3 linked regions of the Caenorhabditis elegans genome follow. The protein of the gene in region 2 purifies or fractionates together with the protein of the main gene of each other region. This does not show direct contact. Each region holds a gene or a part of one and is shown on either strand. Other genes may lie near its edges.

Region 1 (4,756 bases), 2.1 Mb from region 2:
TTTGGAATCAGCTCGTATGTAGGTGGTGCTGGTATTAGTGCGGCTGCTCCGGTTGGATAAAGTTGTATCGGAGTTGATGGAAGAGAAGTCGGTGTTTGTGGCATGAAAGAGACCATCTGATGAGCAGCTTGCTGTGATTGATTTTGCTGATGTTGCTGATTTTGTTGGTCTTTTTGATACCGTAGAGGCGGCGACATCATAACCCGTTCGCTTTGATTCCAAGAACCTAAAAAAATGAATATTTATTAAAAAATGCTCAAATTGGGATAATTTTTAAAAAATACATTTAAATGAACAACAATTTAAGATTTTCGAAATTCTAACCATTAAAACTAAATTATTTGTTCAAAGCAATTTTTAGAACACTTATTTCTTGAAAATAAAGGTGGAAAGAAAAGGTTAATAATTAAAATTAAATCAAAGCGAAGTTAGATGTGCAGGTCAACATCAGCTACCGTACTGCACGCGCCAATTCAAAATACAATTTCAATATTTTCTAACTGTCTTTTTTCAAAAAGCTTTTAATTATTGTGTTTCAGAAAGACAATTTAATCTCATGAAAATATTTATTGTTTCGATAAATTTCACTGCAGGGGGAGTTGACAAAAACCAGAAAAAAAAACAAGAAACGAAATAAAATTTCACAAAAATAGATACAAGAACATGTTATTAGAAATTAAAATTTGTATGTAAAGCACAATTTCAGAGGGAAAATGAAAATTAAAAACAACTATTCTTTTCAGTATTAGGCAGTGGCCGAGTCACGAGTGACAGTTTTCTTTGTTGTAGGCACCACCGTTTCCTCATTCAATTCTTGAAGTGAAATTTCCTGTTCTGGGTTATTGCTCGTATTGTGCAATTCTGTCACACGTTTTCTCTGATGATAGTAGATTGGCATGATAAGGTACTTGAGAATAGTCCATGGGAACAGGTGGAATCCGAGCATTTGAAGCTCATGGTTCAAACATCCAGCAGTCTTCTTCGTCAATCCAATTGAGCCAACCGCCTGGTGGCAGAAGTTTTCTGGTGTCACAACGAATGTAGATCCTTTCTGGAAATAAGATTGTAAATTAATTTTCTAAGAACTTCGCAAATAACTGCTTACCGTGTAGTAGGTCATTTTTGTGGCGACCAATGCAGGGATCAAAGTTTGAACATTGATTGTACTGTACTCGCGATCAATCGATTCGCACAAGAACGTCATCAAAGCCTTTGTTGCACAATAAGCCGCAAGCATGGGTATTGGCCGTACTCCTTGTGAAGACGAGAGCACAACAATCTGTCCACCTCCAGATTTCTCCATTGGTGGGAGCACACATGATAGGAACTCGGCTGCACCCATTCCATTTACTCTCAATATTTGAGTGTCCTCATCTGGATTGTCTCCATATCTTTCCAAATTGTCGCGACCAGTTCCAACGCTGTTCACTGAATGGCAGCTTTGAATAAATATATTCAATGTTTCTTGGGATTTTCCCGTCAAAAGTTAGTCATATGAAACAGAATGTTTACAGAATCTCCATCTGTCAAATTACAATTACAGTAACCGGTTTTACTTGAGTTTTTCCTAATGGTCAACTTGTGATAATTGAATTCGCAAAACCACAAATGGCAGGTCAAGTTCTTTAATCTAATTGGGACAAAGTAAACATTCTTATTTATATTTCTTTCTAAAGTTTGAGACATTTTTCATATTACCAACTGAAAAGTCTCAATCCATATGTTCATTATTCAGGAATTTTCCAAGAAGTTTTAAGTAATCAACTAGCCAAATCTGCCCTACATTCCCTCATATTATTCCCCTTTTCACCCAACTTCTTACCGACAAATCCAACATCGATGTCGCTGATGTAATCGCGAAGGCTTGAGAAGTCGCCACTACCAAAGTCAAACACAAAAGTCTTGATTTGAGCGTCCGAGTGCTTCTCCTCTGAAAATTAAATAAATTAACAATACTAAATAATAATAAAACAACTTACCAATTTCTGATTTAACCGAATCAAGTTTCTTTGGATTTCTTCCAATAAGTACAAACTTCCGGAGACCTCGCTTTGCAAGTTCCAATGTGTAAGCTTTTCCAATTCCATCGGTTCCACCGGAGACGACTGTCCATCTGTGTTGGTACTGTTCCAGATTTGGTTTGTAGAAGAGAGGTGCAATTGTGTAGATGAAGATTGCTTTCAGGAATGCAAAGAATGTTCTGAAAAAATCAAGTTTATATCTCTACCATACCTCTACAGTAACCTGAACGCAACTTGTTTTCACACCTATGAGTTTTATATCACAAGACAACGGTTCACAAAAATGTTCTAATGAAATCTGTGACTTGAAATTTTCCGCATCCTCTTTTTCGCGGCTTTCATGAGAAGTTTAGAGTCGCGTCAAGACCTGGTACAGTATTCTTAAGTCATAGATAAAATCATTTTGCATATAGGTAAGTTTTCACTACAGTAATCTTACAGTACCCATTTTCCAATTGACTATTCAATTTCACTACATAAATACCTGTATAACCGATATCCCACATAAACGACTGGAATTAGAAGAAGCATTGTAACAGCTAATTGAGCACCGTTTTCTACGTGGAACGTTGGAAGAAGAGAGTGTAGAGAGGCAAAGAAGGATGTAGAAGACTCCTCCGGAATGAGGGTTGAGGAGAGAGGTGGAGGTGGAGTCGGCGCCATCTGGAATAAATAGAAAAGAGGTTCAGATGTTATCTTGAAGAGGTCAAAGAAGAGGATACAAAGATTGTAACATACACAAAAGAGTAAAGTAGACAGAATACTATTCGAGTAAATAAAATGTTTAGTGGAAATTTACTTTGGTCTTATTGGGTTGGAAAAGTATAGTGTAGTATCATTGCTTTCTCCAAATATCATTTCAAGGTTACATATCAAATTTTGTTAAATTTTGGTTTAGAAGTATATTAAATTTTTATCATGCGTTTAACTTCCAACAAAGCACCAAGTTTTTCAAAAAACATTATTAAGCTCAACTATTAACATTGAGAGAAAGGTGCCATGCATGTTTTTTCCAATTGACAGTTTTCTGAAAAAACCTTTTTTGTGCAGACATAAAATTAAGTTAAAAGGTTAAAAAACTGCCAATGCCATAAGACATCAAAAAGTTTTTAGATTCACAATTCGTTTTCTAATATAGTGCTTCTAAAAAACTATCTGTAAAAGATATTTTCTAGTCTATTATTTCAAATTTATGAAGAAAACTAACAAAGAACCCCATGAGAACAAAAATTTGCTAAAATGATGAGATGAACTGAATGCCCAGATGTAGGCTACACGACGGTTGTGTAGTCCACATAAAGTGGGGTGGGAGAGGGGAGTGTTATGGTCCCAGTATGGCAGATCATGCATTTAGATAGTGTGCTAATAGTAGTCTAAGAAATTAGTTAGTTTCTCAAAAACAATTCGAAATATTTCTTTAACTTACAGAAGTTGGCAATAAAAATTGTCGCCAAAAACTAAATACCGTAAATCCTTAAGTGTAAAATTTGCATAAAGAATAATACGGCAAAAGTGCAACAGAGTTAAACGGAAAAGTAATGTGCGAAAAACTGAAACCGTATGAATTTTTTTCAGCCAAAAAAGTAAAGGAAAAGTATCTTATAAGACCTCACAAACTACGTCGATTAGCTGGAATTTCTAAACGTGGTCATTTGAATAATTTTCCAAATCTTGACATAATTTAATTTCTGGTAAAGCTGTTTGAAATACTGCATAACTTCAAAATTAGATTCATTTAAACCTCAACTTATTCACTCATATTTACCTACATTGCTTCAAATTCATCTCTCAACATATCGAGAAAAAAAAACTTACAATGTCAAACATGGCAACAAATCGTAACTTTTAGAATATAGCAACAGAAGTGAGAAAGAGGTCAAATTGTGCGTGGCTATAGAATGAAATTGAAGCCATGCAAAGTTTGAAAAAAACCAGTTCAAAACGGAAAATCGGGGGATCATAGAGAACGCCGGAAAATACATATAAGGAACCTTTAATCTTTGAAATGAAAAATATATAGAAAATGCTATGATGGTTCCAGGACCGCCGCCCATATTAAAATGAAATAATAAGAAATTTCAGTCAGGAGGCAAGCAAATGATAATAGATCAACGGTTACACTATCATCATCATTTCCTGTATTGATGCCCAGTTTTTAAAAGTGCGGAATATAACAAGAGAAAGTCCAACTGGGTAAAAAAAACCTTGATCTACTAGTCAACGAAGACTGAAACATTTACGGCAACAAAAAGTTTTAGATTTATTAGACGACATTTGTAAAAATTTATGTTACTCATTATTATCTTTACCATTCCAAAAAGTTACAGGTATACTCTTATGCATTTAACGATGTTTTCTATGGTCCGTTTTTTGTATTAAACTGGTTTTTCAATAAGTAAAAGTTTTAAGAACATTATTGCACCAAACTCTGATATGCGAAAATCTTTAGAAATTTCTGAAAAACTATAAAATTGCAAATCCCAAATTTAGCAATTTTACAGTTTTTCTGAAATTTTTTTCTGAAATATTTACGATATAGGCATTTTCTGTAATTATGTCCCGTGTTGCCTACAACAATTATTCAGAAATAAATTCATTGAAAACTGTCGAAGATCAATATTTTCAGTTGAACATTTTAATTCTTCAATCAATTTAAGTTGTGCATCTTTAAAAAATGAAGAACATTTCGCATTAGAGGAAATGAGAATAAAAAAAGCGAAGACACTTTCATCTGT
Region 2 (3,876 bases):
CAAAAATGTTTTCTGATGTAAGATTCTCCAAAAACTTAACATTTATTGACAAATAGTATTATTCTGTTTTCTACACTATTTTCTGAATAACTCAGCTCAAATTGTTTAATTGCCTTATTGACACCACCTGAACAGATTGCTCAATGGATTCATGCTGCATTTTGAGAACTTGAAAATACGTCCGTCGAGCCACAATGAATGCCAACATTTTTAGACAAATCAGGATGACACATACAGCTGAGATAATTGCACCGTATTTGATTGCTGTAGTGGGATATCAGGATCTTTTGAGCTTCAATTTGATGTTCTTACCTCTGGCTGTTTCAGGATGGGTTTCATTTGGATTCGCGTAGTTTGAGTCTTTTATGTTATGGGAAGTACGAATTCTGCTTGTTCTGAAAGTTCAATACTTATTAGTATTATATCTCTAATTGAAAGAGATACGAAGGGCCTCCCAAAGACTCTAACGACCACATTACTCCGCTAGCGACCGCATTTAGAGCCGAATAAAGCCAAATGAACAACCAAAACATTGTAACCAACTGAAATAGCTAGGAAATTAATAATAAACTATTGCAAAATATTATTACTTGATATGATAACATTGGATACGAAAAAATAGGTGATTGCTTCGATAGACACAAGTTGTATGTGATTATGGCAAATAACATAAAAAATAGAAATGCAAAGTTGAGGAATACAGGATCTGAAATTTGGAAAATGTTACAAGTATCTATAAAGCGGTGTCTTTTTTTAAAGAAATTATGTACTTTGAAATGAAGGTGTAAAAATTACTGATTGAATTTCAATGTGATATACTCAAAGTACAATCGGGTAAAATTAAATTGTACACTTATGTAATTAAAAAAACAATTTTATTCATGGAATAGACTGATATTTATGTTGTAGAGCTTCCCCAAAAATTACCTCAAATGTATTTTCCATTTGTTTCCGCCCCATAAAAGACAATTTAATTTCATTTTCATAAAATCACTATTTCTATTAGTATAAGCCTTAAAAGTTCAGACAATTTCTGAGGTTTTTCAATAATTGTGGGGATAAATCTACTGCTTAAATATCAGCCTACTTGAAGGGAAATGCTGCATGATAAAAATTAAAATTCATCTTGAACTGAAAACCACAACTTACACCATGATTGCGCATAAATAAGCGAGCAAATCGATAATACCAAAATTAATTTTCCAAGTATTGACTCAAAAACCAGCAATACTTTTGAGGCTATCTGAAATATTACTATTTGTGAAATACAATAAGAATATTTAAATGTCTTACTTTAAATTTCAAACCAAATATCTTCGGTGCGTGAGCATATGGACTAACATGGCGAGGCACTCTTTGAGTCATCACAAAAAGAAAGAAAAGAGCAATAATATGGTTGAGAGAGAGTGGAAAGCGAGTGATACTCTGCCTGTATGTGATAACACTTTTTATAGATGGCGAAGCAAATAGGCAAACATAAAAACTAAAAACGAACAGAGAATGGAGTTAGGTAATCGGATTGAAGTTCAAACGGAAAGTTTTTTGTTGCATTTCAATTGTTAGAAACCAGCTAAAAATTACATAATTTAGACACAAGATATTTTCACTGATTTTTTAATACTGTTAGTTTATATATTCAGCTTCTGTCTACATAACATCGGAGATTGTCGGTTTATTTAGAACCTCTCAACATCTTAAATTTGTTTTACTCTGAGTACTAAAAAGTATGTACAACCCATTCTACTATTCCGAATAGTTCCAACACAGACATATTTTCCGTTGCTTCCTACATTTTTCTCAGTTTTCTCCTTCATTACACACAACATGTCGCCCTTTTTTCCGTGGACTTTTTCGGCAACAATCGGTCCGTCCACACCGTGTCCGACATCCGTATCATTCTTTCGCCTCCTAATTTTCAATACTTTCTCTACTTCAGGCCTTGACCCATGTCGATCTTCCTGTTGGAGACACATCTGTGTGACCCACAAACCCAGTAATCTACTACTCATCGGTACGACCCTCCCCGCATTCTTATCTATCCCCATCGTCTATATTCCCGCTGCCCTCCAAAATCTCACTCACTTATTTCCAAATAGCTAGGATGCTCCTTGTTTCTGTTATTTCTTGTCTACTTATTAGTGTTTTAGCAAAGGATGCTGTTACACCTCGTGTCGGATCTCAGTGCACAAAAAATCAAGTCGTTCGTAAACTGACTGTATATGAAGACGGAGCACTTGAAGCTGAATGTGGACCAGTTCCTTGTGGAGAAGTTGGAAAACGATGCATTGACGTAAGTTTAGAAACAAAAATAGTAATTTGCATATTGAAAATTATAACGTTAGAAATACATTTATTTCCAATTTTAGGATCAAACTTCTTGCCGTGCTGAAACCGATGTTTTCTCCGGAATGAGATGGGCTCCAAACGGTGAGAGCATCTTGCTCCGCTGTTGCACAATGCATGCCAAAAACAAGATTTACGTAGGAACTGATGTTGTTGCTGCTGGAAGCTTCTACGAAGGAGGAGAAGTTGCTGAAAAGGATCTTTATGGAGATAAGGGTGGAGCTGAATACGACTTCGTTGCCAATGCCAGAACTGAACAGTGAGTTTTTAAAGTTCTCATCGTAATTATTAAAACTAATTTTTCAGAGGAGGAGTTCGTGTTTGGGTGTACCGTATGATCTGTGCCAAGGGAGAGAAACCGGTTGATTTTGATCCTATCACTACTACTTCTGCTCCAAGAGTCATTAAGACTACTCCAGCACCAACAACTACCCCAACTGTGGAGGAAGAAGCAGAGGAAGCTGAACAACTTGAAGAAGATCAGCCTAATGACAATGAAGCTGAAATTGTTGAGAGCAATGATGAAGAGGAAGTTGTTGAAGAGGAAACCGAGGAAGAAGAGGAAGTTACAGTGAGTTTATAAGAGCTTCCTTCTATCTGAAATATTGAAATCTTCTTGCAGACTACCCCAGCACCAAAACCATTCAACCCACTTCGTTACCGTCCACCACACTTCCCAAGACAATCGACTGGAATCCGTAGAGCTTAAACTCGTGTGCCCTCACTATTTTTTGTTACCTCTATTTTTTTTATTTCTTTCCTATCAAGTTTGATGATCTTTTCTTCCCTCATTCAAATCCACTCGCATTCATTCCAATGAGTCCATATCAAAACGAGTTTGTACATTTTAATAAGCTTTTCATTTTAATAATACCGTTAATAAAATATTTCTCTACAATGTTTCCTTGATCTATTATTTTTTGAATTGCTTTTCCATCAAGATTTCAAAGCTGACATAAAAATTTTGAAAACATTTATTATCCTTTGAGAGAAAAATTGAAAAGATCGACATGTCAAGGAGGTTTATTATAAATAATTATTAGTTATTAAAATTGAAGAGATGACTAGTACTTATGTGGCAATAGAACATCAATGATATTCAAGAAGAATTCAGAAGTGGCTGGAAGATGCCCAGTTTCTTCTAATGATCCAAGAACTGATCGCATCTTTTGTTGAACGGAAGTGGCGAAGTTGAGGAAAGTATGAGATAATGTGTTAGCCTTGACAACATTGTGACATGAAGCATACACGTCATCAACAATTAAATCTCCAGTTTCAGTCATTGGAGCGTACACTCCAGTCTCGTAAAATGTTGATTTTTCACTGATAGTTGTCATCACGAGTTCTGAAAAGATTCGTAGAATATATAACTTCAAAGTTGAAACGCTGAAGTTCCTGATATTGAAAAAACTCACTTTCATTTTCCTTCACCATCAGACAATCCCCAATGGTCATATCCTCAGCATACACAAGTTCCATTTCTTCTGTAACGCAGTTAGCCTTGTAGATGAAATGCTGCGGAGTCATATCGAT
Region 3 (3,922 bases), on a different chromosome or scaffold from region 2:
AAAAAGGAATCTTACCTCTCCGAAATATGGTGCTTGATGAACAACTCCGGTACCAGAGTCAGAGGTGACAAAAGTGTCATTCAATACCCGGAATGCGTTTCTTTCTTCGCGCATATAGGCAAAGTATGGGAACAATGGTTCATACCTGAGATCTTTGAGCTGACTACCAGCAAGTTTCTCAATAACTTCCAAATTATCATTTTTCAACTCTCCGAGACGTTCTTCCAGAACAACGTATTCGATTCCAGTCGTTTTATCTTTAGTGACCACATACAGCATGTCTGGATGAACAACTAGAGCTAGATTGGATGGAAGTGTCCATGGAGTTGTTGTCCATGCAACTAGCTGCCTATTCGGACAATCGAGTAATTTGAATCCGACGAATACTGCTGGATCTACTACATCTTTGTAATTCTGACCAGCTTCAAAGTTGGAGAGTGGAGTAGAACAAGCAGTAGAGAAAGGCATAACTTTTACACCTTTGTAGACAAGGCCCTTCTTATGCAACTCGCTGAAAGCCCACCATACAGACTCCATGAACCACGGGTAGAGAGTCTTGTAATCATGCTTGAAGTCTACCCAGCGACCAAGACGTCCCATTGTTTTCTCCCATTCGCCAGAATATCTCATAACGATCTTTCGGCATTCATTGTTGTAATTAGCGATTCCCATTTTCATGACATCTTGTGGACCACTGATTCCAAGCGTCTTATCGATTTCGTATTCGACTGGAAGACCATGAGTATCCCAACCAAACCGTCTTTCTACATAGTGACCGTTTTGATGAGCCCAGCGACCAACAACGTCTTTGATGGTGCTGGTAAGCATATGACCATAATGAGGAAGGCCAGTAGCGAAAGGTGGTCCATCATAAAAAGTGAAATGTGGACGATCTTTTGACAGCCTGAAGATAACGTTTTTTTTTTCAATGTGAACAATTCCAGAATATTTAAAAAAAAACTAACTCAACAGAACGTTGGAAAGTATTCTCATCTTGCCATTTTTGAGCGACTTTATCTTCTTCTCTGGCAAAATTGATGTTGTCGGGAACGGTCGAAAGGCCGCTCATTTTTTACCCTGTAAATTTTAAATATGCGAAAGTTAGACACTAGGCGACTAACATAAATAACAACGCAATCACATGAAATCTGATGCAACATTCTTTATTGCGTATTGCGAAATTTTGATGGAAGTAGTAATTTTTTAAATATTCGTCATACTAAAATATGATATATTTATTTGAATAATTGGTGGTGTTAACGGAAACGTTATCAAGGACAATTTAAGGCATAGTTTCGTATCTAGAAGGCACATCTTCGAGTAATTTTACCAAGTTTTCATCTAGTTAGTAAGAAAACATTAAATTGACACCATCAGTAGCGTGAGATAAACTATTCCAGTGTAGAAAGAGATGTATACAAATGAAATACTACCAAAAACATGGGAACCTCTTCTAAAGCAGTCAGATAAGTACTTGAGTTAAATGAAATGTTATTTAGTTGTTATTTTCAACAAACTTAAATGACAAAAAACATCGGAATTGCATGAAAAACCGATCAAAATAAGAAGAAAACTGGAAAATGGGAACTCCAAATAAAACAATTTTTTAAAGGCGCATGCATTTATTCAGCAGGGTCTCGCCACGATTTCCCGTCTTTTTAATTCGCCGAAAATTTTTTTTTATGAATTACAGTCCGTTTTCAGACAAATAAAGTGAAAGTTAATATGAAGCTGATTTAAATTTGATATTCCCCGTAGTGGAAAACGGTTTCTCGCGAGAAAAAGCGCATTTCTTGCGTTTTTTCAGTGAAATTTGTATGAATGTAACCGATCCGTTGTGTTTTTCCGCCCGTTTTCTTTTAATGAACTGAAAATTCATTTTTTAGTTTTCAGATGCGTTTTTTTGGTGTACGGACAGTCCAGATTGCTTCTTTGGCTGGATTCTCGTGGGGAGGATCAAAGCTGGACGATATCCAAACAGCAAAACTCAGAACATGCCCAATTCAAGTTCAGCAACCCGAGAAAGTGCAGAATGATGTCCTCCTCAGTCGAAAAGTTATTAATCACCTGGATAAGTCAAACTTGAAGCTCCGATTGTATCAATACGAGACTTGCCCGTTCTGTTGCAAGGTGCGTTACTCTTGTGTGAAGTATGAAAACTATTAATCAAAAATACAGGTTCGAGCCTTCTTAGATTATCACGGATTCTCCTATGAGGTTGTAGAAGTAAATCCAGTCACTAGATCACAGATCAAGTTTAGCACAACTTATAAAAAAGTAAGTTTTCATTCACATTTCCGGTTGTTTTATCTATTTTCTTTCAGGTTCCAATTCTCAGGAGTGGCGAGACAACTATGACCGAGTCTACTTTGATTATTTCCACATTGGCAACATATCTTCAAAGACCCGATCAGTCACTCGACCAGATAATACAAATGTATCCAGCAGTTGATTCAACAAACGAGAAAGGAAAGCCAGTGGGTTTTTGAATTACTCTGCAATTTTAAAACATCCTTGCTGATTCAGGTTCTCAACTACCCTAACAAATTCTTCGTTATGAAGGGAAAAGTAGACGGGGACGCAAATATGGCTTCTGCCAGAGAAGAGCGGGAATGGAGAGAATGGGTGGACAATTGGTTCATCCATCTTATTTCTCCTAATGTATATCGTAATTGGAATGAGTCTGTCGAGACATTCCGTTGGTTCGAACAAGTTGGCGACTGGCATCGTACTTTTCCAGCCTGGGAGAGAGTTCTAGCGGTATACGTGGGTGCAGCAGCAATGTTTTTACTTTCAAAAACATTGAAGAAAAAGTAAGTTAGTTAGAAGTTTATATCATGATTTCTGATATTAAAGGCACAACATCAATGATGAACGAGAAGAATTGAGAAAGGCTTGTCGTGACTGGATGGCAGCAATTGGACCAAATAGACAGTTTTTAGGAGGAGATGAACCGAATCTAGCTGATCTGGTTGGTTTGATTTTTTGGAGAAGGATTTACAATCTGATATATTTTCAGTCATTATATGGAGCTATGAATTCTTTCTATGGATGCTCAGCGTTCAAAGAAGTTATTTTAGAAGAAAAAATTGCTGAATGGTGGCGAAAAATGGATGCACTTGTCAAAAACCACGATGGAAGAAAAGCATTGGAATCAAGAAGTCAAAAATAAAAGATTGAAATTGTTAATATAGACTAGTCCTTGATTTAGTGCCTTATTGTTTGCTGTGTTTTTGTTATCTTTCTCATCCTATTTGTCTTATTGAATCAATTCAATGTTTTACCAGCTAGGATCTCATTTTAGTTAAAATTCTACATTTTTCCCTCATAATAAACCATGTTTTACTCTGCATTCATGAAGACGGCAGTTTGCGCCATGCAGCGTTTGTTGACGCGCATTTGGTATCTCCCGTTGACGCAGTTGGTTCACTTTTGAATTGATTTTCGTATTCAGTTCTGGTCTACTTTTAATAAAATTAATCATATCGATAAACGATGTCACGTGATAGTGGCAACGATTCAGAAGTTGCGGTCACACACGGGGAAGTGGTGAGTTAATTTATTAGATTTTTTTAAAATTTCCTTACTAACAACCTAACGTAAAATGTTTCAGCAAGAAATAACGGAGGAAAATCCAGAAATCGGTTCTATGCACATTACACAAGAAACAGATATTTCCGATGCACCCGAAACAAACACAGATTCGAGTAGACAAAGAACAGAAAGTACAACCAGTGTCAGTTCAGAGTCTTGGCAAAATAATGTGAGTTTTCGCCAAAAAATGAAGATAAATTCCCAAGGAGATTAAAATGTTTCTAAATTAATATTTTTCAGGACGAAATGATGTCGAATCTTCGTCGTGCTCAAAGACTTCTTGATGATGGTGCCACTCCATTACAAATTATTCAACAAATTTTTCCTG

Evidence for each region.
Region 1: the proteins of wrt-10 (region 2) and dhs-5 fractionate together in Caenorhabditis elegans (co-fractionation; one large-scale study listed by BioGRID). This does not show direct contact.
Region 3: the proteins of wrt-10 (region 2) and pges-2 fractionate together in Caenorhabditis elegans (co-fractionation; one large-scale study listed by BioGRID). This does not show direct contact.

What each region holds. Positions count from the first base shown.
Region 1 is NC_003280.10:5,451,775-5,456,530, reverse strand, and holds dhs-5 (putative oxidoreductase dhs-5), read right to left. Parts: upstream 2,685-4,756; coding exon 2,506-2,684; intron 2,201-2,505; coding exon 1,980-2,200; intron 1,931-1,979; coding exon 1,823-1,930; intron 1,429-1,822; coding exon 1,106-1,428; intron 1,052-1,105; coding exon 746-1,051; 3' UTR 554-745; downstream 1-553. Other genes in the region: daz-1 (DAZ protein 1), read right to left, coding at 1-197.
Region 2 is NC_003280.10:7,532,672-7,536,547, reverse strand, and holds wrt-10 (WaRThog (hedgehog-like family)), read left to right. Parts: upstream 1-1,984; 5' UTR 1,985-2,101; coding exon 2,102-2,290; intron 2,291-2,366; coding exon 2,367-2,602; intron 2,603-2,649; coding exon 2,650-2,914; intron 2,915-2,965; coding exon 2,966-3,052; 3' UTR 3,053-3,286; downstream 3,287-3,876. Other genes in the region: ZK1290.13 (MARVEL domain-containing protein), read right to left, coding at 128-264, 313-395, 445-542, 591-706, 1,150-1,243, 1,294-1,365; wrt-1 (Warthog protein 1 N-product), read right to left, coding at 3,408-3,688, 3,759-3,876.
Region 3 is NC_003282.8:10,365,762-10,369,683, reverse strand, and holds pges-2 (Prostaglandin E synthase 2), read left to right. Parts: upstream 1-1,893; coding exon 1,894-2,130; intron 2,131-2,178; coding exon 2,179-2,277; intron 2,278-2,324; coding exon 2,325-2,477; intron 2,478-2,526; coding exon 2,527-2,813; intron 2,814-2,856; coding exon 2,857-2,971; intron 2,972-3,019; coding exon 3,020-3,172; 3' UTR 3,173-3,351; downstream 3,352-3,922. Other genes in the region: iars-1 (Isoleucine--tRNA ligase, cytoplasmic), read right to left, coding at 16-904, 966-1,069; NAD-dependent protein deacetylase sir-2.1, read left to right, coding at 3,496-3,549, 3,614-3,763, 3,835-3,922.